2 linked regions of the Mus musculus genome follow. The protein of the gene in region 1 purifies or fractionates together with the protein of each later gene. This does not show direct contact. Links are inferred from orthologs where the notes say so. Each region holds a gene or a part of one and is shown on either strand. Other genes may lie near its edges.

What was found. Proteins that work in one complex are often made in the same cells at the same time.
Region 2: the proteins of Met (region 1) and Plxnb1 purify together in Homo sapiens (co-immunoprecipitation; 3 studies listed by IntAct). This does not show direct contact. The link is inferred for Mus musculus from reciprocal best matches to the Homo sapiens genes MET and PLXNB1.

The regions. Positions count from the first base shown.
Region 1 is NC_000072.6:17,487,847-17,491,948, reverse strand, and holds part of Met (hepatocyte growth factor receptor precursor), read right to left. Parts: intron 723-4,102; 5' UTR 709-722; coding exon 1-708. UniProt on the Homo sapiens protein: Receptor tyrosine kinase that transduces signals from the extracellular matrix into the cytoplasm by binding to hepatocyte growth factor/HGF ligand. Regulates many physiological processes including proliferation, scattering, morphogenesis and survival.
Region 2 is NC_000075.6:109,101,834-109,105,935, reverse strand, and holds part of Plxnb1 (plexin-B1 precursor), read right to left. Parts: intron 3,916-4,102; coding exon 3,733-3,915; intron 3,363-3,732; coding exon 3,234-3,362; intron 3,110-3,233; coding exon 3,009-3,109; intron 2,722-3,008; coding exon 2,589-2,721; intron 2,324-2,588; coding exon 2,167-2,323; intron 1,909-2,166; coding exon 1,800-1,908; intron 1,714-1,799; coding exon 1,605-1,713; intron 1,203-1,604; coding exon 528-1,202; intron 346-527; coding exon 223-345; intron 21-222; coding exon 1-20. UniProt on the Homo sapiens protein: Receptor for SEMA4D. Plays a role in GABAergic synapse development. Mediates SEMA4A- and SEMA4D-dependent inhibitory synapse development. Plays a role in RHOA activation and subsequent changes of the actin cytoskeleton.

The DNA of each region.
Region 1 (4,102 bases):
GACATCAATATAGGACTGGTCTGTCAAAAACTTAAAACCATCTTGGGTTTCCTTCAGCCGTCTCACCGATATCGAATGCAGTGAATAACCAGGAGGATAGGAGGAATTGATCGTATTCCCCACAAAGAAATTGATGAACCGGTCCTTTTCCGACAGGAGGACTTTGGCTCCGAGGGCACTCACTACACAGTCAGGACACTGCCCTGACTCCTCTTCTGGGGAGAACATGCAGTGGACCTCAGACTGGATGTCAGCAGAATTGTCAGGAGGAAGGACATGCCGCTGGCAAGTCCCTCTGTTGACACTGCCACAGCTAATGAGTTGATCATCATAGTATGTGTCAACAAGCAGAGCCATGTTGATGTTGTCTTTCCAAACCCCTCCTGATGAATTGGCTTTGCTGCTGCAGTCCCGACAAGGTAAACAATCTGGGTGTTCCAACACGGGCCCGGTCTTGAATTCGGATACCTTCTGAAGGTCTTTGTCATTTAAAACATAAATGTAGTTTGTGGCTCCGAGATAAATATGATGGCCGTGTAGGACGACATTCTGGATGGGGGTTTCTGCCGTGAAGTTGGGGAGCTGATACTTCATGTTCACGTTCATCTCAGACTTCACTAGGGCCTCCTTGCACTCCCCATGGCTCCTCTGCACCAAGGACAACAGCAGCACCAGAATGCCAGGTGCCAGCACGGTGGGAGCCTTCATTGTGAGGAGTTGATCTGCCAAGACACATTCAGGCAAGAGCCCTTTAGTCGTCATTAGAAACAAAGAGAGAAATGGAAGCATGACTCCTCCAGCTTCGATATCAGAAATAACATTTCCTAACTGGAATTTTATTTACATAGAATGAAAAAGAAAAAAACTGCTAGCTAGCTTCACATAAAGATGTATTGTAGGGCTGGACATGACTCCACATAGTTTAATTTTAGAAGTCAGGCCACAAACGAGTCATGTTCAAGGACCATTCTGTGATGCAAACAATGTTCTGTGTTGAGGCCACACAGCAACTGAATGGCATTCAGCAGCTCAATAAGAAACACAGCACATTGTGTCTTAACCCTTGCTGCTTGCTTAATGTGGGTTTCTATCTGTGGCTAATGACTAGGTTGATGCTTAAACTTTCTTGTTTAGTCAAGTAAAGGAACTGTGGCTCAGATTCATTTATTCTAGAAATCACAGCAGGCATTGTTTCCTTGGGAGCATGTAGAATCACTAGGCTAAATTTAGCTTCCTTTTGGAAGAAAACAATCATAAATCCTAGAAGCAAGCAATCACACGCTGTTTATAGGATTTGTGTGTGTGTGTGTGTGTGTGTGTGTGTGTGTGTGTGTGTGCAGGGAAAAGGTATGGTAATAATTTGGCTATAGTTAACCTATTGTTTCATACAGACAAATGCTTAATGCAAGATCACCAGGACTTCAAAACAAACAGCAGGCAGAAATGCGTGAAAGTAAAATTTAATCTTCGGAACTGAAGTTTTAGAACTATTTCCCAGGAAAAAACAACATATTGTTCATTATCAAGCCAAAAAGCTCTTTAGTAAAAAGAACATTATTTCAGTATTCCGTGGTATGCAATTGGACCAGTTTTTCTCCCAGGAACCATAACTGGTTTGTTCTTCCTTTTTAAAAAACATAAGGGACACAGGTTAAAAACATGTGAATTCTACTGATAATAGTTATGGGCGGGGTTGGGTATTGTTATGCAAAAGAGAGGCTTTAGAAGGAAAGGTAATTACCTAACATGAGCTGAATGATGCTTAAAACCATATTTGGCACCACAGTGATGGCAAAGACTACTAACCTTGGATGTATGAAACCACACCAAAGTCACCAAGCAACTAATATGTGCATAATTCTGTGCTTACACTATGGAAAATGGAAAATGGCTCATGGTTCCTGCCTTTCACAGAACCTAAAAAAAATGGCTACTATGTAACACACATAGACTGACAATACTACCTGGCATTAAGACACTCCATACAGGACAAATCCCAAACTACAAGCATCAAGAGTCGGAGAGATGGTCCCTGTATTGGATTATGATATGAGAAACAGGCACATATTCATCATGTGGTGAGGTCCAGAAGAGAGAGGACGACATCTGTCTGACTCATTACTATATTCCAATATTGAGTACAGAGAAGCCTGAAACATAGTCTGGCATTAAACTAATATATACCGAATCTCTGTGTAAATAAAGATAAGTAGTATGGGTCAAAACCAAGAACCTTAGTCCATACTTTCTGACTTAGGTTCTCTTGCATTTCTAAAAATTGGGAGCTTTAAAGAAATGGTTGACCAGCAAATATAATGGCCTGGAGCGAAGTAAAAGAGGGCCAGAAGCAATATATTGCCCCTAAGAACAGAAAGAGATAGTGACGCATAGTTCAGTACGTAGCATTTGACATCTGGCTAGACAGAATAAAAGGAAGGTAAGGATGATGGGGAGTCATCCGGGCAGAAGTAGACTGAGTTACAACAGCATGGCAGGCAGCAATAGGAAGGTGGCTAAAAGATACAGATTTTAAGCATGCCAAGTTTTATTATGTAATGGGAACCGAGAAAAGGTCTCCCATAGGAATGATTAGGACAGTTCACGCTATTTATCAGGAATCAGGTGCTTGGAATTCATGAGGAATGAATTTTCTGAGCAGATGGAACACCTATGCCAAGGAACCGAGGTGAATAATGAAAGCCTTCTGAGGAGAGCTGCCATTATGGACGAGGGATGTGAGTGGTCCAGGTGAGACACATCTGCTTTGAGTGATCCGGTAGCAAGTGGAATTAGGAAGGGATGCAAATTCAAGACTCTGTGTAAAACAAACTGCAAAAAGCTGATAACTAAAACCTAGGTTGGCATGCTTGGCATGGTGGGACAAGATGAATAAGGAGATGGTCAGCGAGTTAAATCTGGGCGAATACCTACAGTAAAAGAACTAAAGGAAGAGTCAAGAAGGCTCAGGTCATTGAGACATCAAGAGATTGTTTCAGGGTTACAGAAGCCAGGTGAGGGTCTCAAGAGGCACCTAGCTCATACAGGAAAGAACTATCTGTTGCCCTTCAAAGAGTAGTTTCAATCCATTTAATTGCGGCTTTCAAAAAGGCTGTTAAGGTGCACGGAGTGTGTGTTTTGAGGAAAAACAAGCAGAAGGCAACAGCAGTTGTTTGGATTTCACTCTTAAATTGTAGGAAAGATGTATGCTTATTTGCAAGACTTTCCCTTCTTTTACTAACACTGCTTCAGTACCAACAAAAACAGTGCCCTGCTCTGGAAAGCTCATAGTCCATTGGTAGAGGCAAATGAGTTATCAGCTGTGTGAGTTGGGAGGACACCAGACTGTAAATGAGGTTAGAGTTCATTCCTCAAGGAGGACAGTGACTGAGGTGTCCTCACAGATACAGTGGCTTTGTGCAGAGCAGAGACCAGTGGGAGGCACGTAACAGGGGCAGGATGGTGGCAAGTAGTAGAGCCTGAGAGGTGGGGTGACAGGCACAAGTGAGTGATAAGGCTGATGATGCAATACTCCAAACGAGTATTTCCAAGATTCCAGGAGCAGAAGACTGGTCACAAGGTTCCTATAGAGGTCCATGTAGAGCCAGAGATGAGAGGTCACAGGACAATACAAGAGCAGTGAGGATTCAGAACATAGAAAGTCCATGTTCTACAAGTAAGTCAGAGTACATGAACATGTGTTTCAAGTAATGGATATAAAGGAGGGGTTAGGGATTTCAGCTGGAGGAAGAGGTTCAAAAATAACCAAAGAAGAGCATGCAAACTGAGGCCAGCAAGAAATTCAAAAGAACAGCATTAAGCTAAGATGTCTTACCTTTAAGATAAGATACATTCAACCTGTCGTGGCTACCGCTTCGCGTGCATGAAAGAGAAGAAACCTAGCACAGACAGTTGAGGACATGGTGGTCTTTGGGATCCATGTAGAGGTATCTGAGTGAGGATATAGGATTTCAGGGGATGTGTAACGAAGCCAGAAAGCCACACTAATACCAGAGAGCAAAGGAAAGCTTCAATAGGCTAAATTACTGGAAGAGGTATAAGCCATATAATAGTAAAAACAACAAAAATGTGCACTGCGTGCTTA
Region 2 (4,102 bases), on another chromosome or scaffold:
TCGCTGCTCCTCGGGCCATCCTGGGGGCAAAGGACACACTGTTCAGGTAGAATGGGAAGCTGGGTCCTGAAGGCTGCAGGCAGCCCTTGCCCCAGAACAGCTGAGTCAGGGAAGAAGGCTGCAGCTGGCGATGTCCTCTTCCTGCTTTCAAAGGCTTGGGTAGACTCTGTCACATAGCCAAGCAGCTCGAGGGAAAGCTGATAGCTGGATAGGCAAACACACCTGGAAAAGCCACAGGTTCCTGCCTCGAAGCTGGACTTCGCGTTCCACATGGACCGGTATCAGCAAGGAGCCCTGGACGGTCTCCACACAGGGGCAGGAGCTCACCCTCTGATTCACCTCTCCCTGCAGGCACCAAGGGTGAGGCAGTCTGTGGCTCCCACCCTGACCGCCTCAGTCCTCTACCTTGCTTGGTTCCATGGCAACACTAGGTTCTCACCCTCCCAAAGGAGAATCAATCCCAGGGTAAGCAAATGGCTGTGTCTTCCCCTCCCCTCCCGAGGCCTCCTTCCTGGGCTGGACCTCACCAGCTCCCAGAGCCCGGGGGTGTCGTACTGGTAGTCGAGGCTGGACAGGAGGATGAGGGGGGCAGGAGGGCCCTCGTGCTCTGCTGAGTCTCCATCACCTGAGAGGAGTGTGGAAGTGGAGAAGGCGGGCGTGTCACCCCCCATCCACTCATCCGCCTCGGGCAGCTCGCCGCCTCCTTTGGTGAGCCAATCCAGAACGGGCTTCATGGAGCCAGGGGCCCCTGGGAAAGTAGTGTCTGGAACAGTGCCAGGGGGCTGGTCCAGAGCCACCATGGAAGGCAGAGCCTCAGGGCCAGGCTCTGCAGGGGACACTGCAGCTGCATCTGAGGGGAATGGGTAGGAGGCCAAGAGGTCCTCAGGTGTGGTCGATGGTCCCAAGCCAGTGGGGGCAGGGACAGTGGTTCCAGGTATGGTAGGGGGGTCAGGAGGAAGGGGCTTCTCATGAAGAGGTGACTCTGTGGAAGTAGGGGAAAGTATGGGGCCAGGACCTGCCCATGGGCCCCAGAGGCTGAGCCGGGAAGGCTTGGCCCCAGGTAGGACATCTGAGGCTGTGGAGGGAGCCCTAGGCTCTATTGGGAAGCTGTTGGGGGTAGGAGTGACCGTGGTTTGGGGGACTGTGGGTGGGAAAGGGGTGAGTTCATCCCTTGCAGGAGGGATTAGGGGAAGGAGTGGGCTCTGAAGGAAAGGTCAAGACAGACAGGAAGGTCACTCAGCAGGCAAGTGCAGGGGCAGGCAGGCAAGGGTATGTTAAGAGGGAAAAAGACCGAGGAAAGAGAAACAAAAACATCCCGTTAATTCTCTAAGGCAGAAGCACGCAAGGCAGGCTCCGGGGGTCTGTGCTGAGGTGGGGAACCAGGACCACACCTCTTGCCTCTCAGCTTAAATGTCCTCCCCAAAACAGATGGGATGGACAAGCAGCCATTCTCCAGTGACTCTGTCACACAAAGCAGCTGGGGTGCTCAGGACAGAGCTTCACAGGAGGCTGGCGGGCACACAGATCCCAGGCCATCAGAAAACCCTCACCCTGGGAACCCCAGGCTCCACCCTCAACATGCCTCATCCTGGAGTCCCACTAACCTGTTGGCTTGCCACCATAGGCCCAGCGTCACACGAGGCCTTGTGTGTGCACAGCTGCTGCCACACACACCAGTTACAGCCCCAGCGGCTGCTCACACAGGCCCGGCACCTGCGCACAGTACAGCCAGTCAGTCATGAAACAGAGACCACAGTAAGGGAGCCCAGATCTGGGGACAGACAAGGTAAGGAACTCACGGTGCAGATGGGGAAGACGCAGTAACTGCCACGCAGTCATAGAAGGAGAGGGAGGTGCTGGCGATCACCACGGCACCAAACCTGAGCTCCACGTTCACAGAGATATGGTCTGCAAAATGGGGGAGAGTGCCAGAACTGAAGAGTAGGGAAGGCTGGGGACCTACATGGGATGAGGCTGGCACCCCAAATAGACAGGAACTAGGGTCAGAGGACATAGCACCAACACTGGGGTCCTGGAGCCAGTAAGGGGACTTAGAGCACATCTAGGATCTTCTAGAGTTATTTCTCATCCCAGTAAGACCTCTTAGAGCAAGATGGAAGCAGGGGTGGGCTCCCAGGTCCAGGGCTGGCCCCTTCTCTCACCCACCGGCTCCTCTCTGCAGCACTGGAGCCTCACTGGGGTCTGGGGAGGGACACATCACACCAGAACTGGTCAGTAGAGCAGGACTCTGTTGGTCTCCAAAGTAGCAGAAATATGACTCCCCTGGCCAGAGAGATGGCAGGCCTGGCACTGACAAGAAAACCTACCGAGAAAGCAAAGGGCACACTTTAGGCACCACTGCATGGTAGGCTACAGACTCTCATTTAAGGGCATCAAGTACAGGCTGGTGCTGGCATCCCTCCCAAATACTCTCTGGCCTTGATTGATAACAGATAGAGAAACCCAAGGCCCAAGAGAAATAGCTGAGCAAGGACATGTGGTATTTGATGCAACGACACAAAAATCCAAGGTCTCCATCCATCTCCATAGCTCTCCCCACTGGGGCCCCGCCCACTCTGGTCATTCACCTCCCTCCTCTCTTCCCGACTGATATTGGCAGGGCTCACGGCCACCACTCGAAGACAGCCCAGTTCCGGCTGGAAGCTCCACAGCCACTGCTCTGGGCCCTGGTCCCTTGAGCACTCCGACCGGCGACTACACCTAAGAAGAACCAGCATATAACTGTGACCCTCCGGCAGCCATCGAGAAGTCACACGGCAGAGACATCTCTCTAGTCCTGAGGACTTCCCTGGTCACAGCCCTCACGTGAAGTTGATACCAGGCTCTTGTGTCTGCTATGGCAGGGAGCTAAAGCTCTGGGCAGTGAGTGGATAAAGAACTGGGGGCTGGGTACCCACATGTTAGCGGCTGAGAGTCAATGGACAAGGTCAAGAAGCCGTTATAGAGGCACAAGCCCAGGTCGGGGATTTGGTAGATAGAACACTAACCTGCCCAGGAGCACACACCATCCGCAATAAGGGTCCCTGTGAGCAAGGCAAGAGTCACAGTCCAGATGCTGAGCACAAGGAGCCACAGGAACCTTCACAAGCTGTGACAGCAAAGAGGACCTGAGGCTGGCAGTCAGAAAACCAGTGCCTCGCCCACATATGGGTCCCAGTATCTGCCCAGAAGCCCCTCCCAGCAGTCACCCCTGGCCTGTGTCCAGGACTTACAGTAGTCTGAGTTGCTACATAGAGATGCTCAAAGGTACCATCAAAGGTAAGATCTCTGTTCACAGGAGACCCCGGCTGGATGCTCTGTTTAGAATATGGGGCAGCACTTCTTCCAGGGCCTAAGTAGACCTAAGATGAAAGACCACAAGGCCTGGCACCAAGCTCAAAGCCACAAACTCAAGACCTTCCTCCACTTAGAACTGAAACAATTTATGAATAATAATTTTCTCTTTTGACAGGTGGGGGGAGGCAGTCTTTAATACTTGTACCTTGGAGGCAGAGACAGGCAGATTTGTGTGAGTTTGAGAACAGCCTGGTCTAGATGAATCCCAGGCAAGACAGGTTCATTACAACCAGCCTTGGGCAAGGTTTATGGGTATGTGAGGAAGATCACAGGTAAATACCACCCAACCCTCAGAGGAGCGGCACACACAGCTGGGGTGGCCTGTAGCATGCCACACGTCACACATCCCAGCCTCAGAACTTCCTAAGGACATACCCTATGCAACTGTCCTTGACTGTCACCCAGGAAAGCAATAGTGTGTCCATCCTCCATGGTGACAGCCACAGCTGTTAGCTGAACCCCTGGTAGCTCCAGAATTGGCGTGGCTTCCAAAGGGACACAGCTGACCATGGGACTGGGTGTGTGGTCAGAGCCACATGGAAAAGCATCCGGGGTGTCCTACAGGTAACAAAAAGCAACACTGAGACCCTGCCTGGATAATCTCCCAGGACAACCACCCCCTAGGTCCTAGTCTCTGCCAGCCGTCCCGACAGTAGCCCGCTCCTTAGCCTTACCTCAGTGCATTCATCTTTCACCCTCACCTTGTCTGCGGCCCCATCTTCTGCCATCCCCTTTCTGGAAGCTA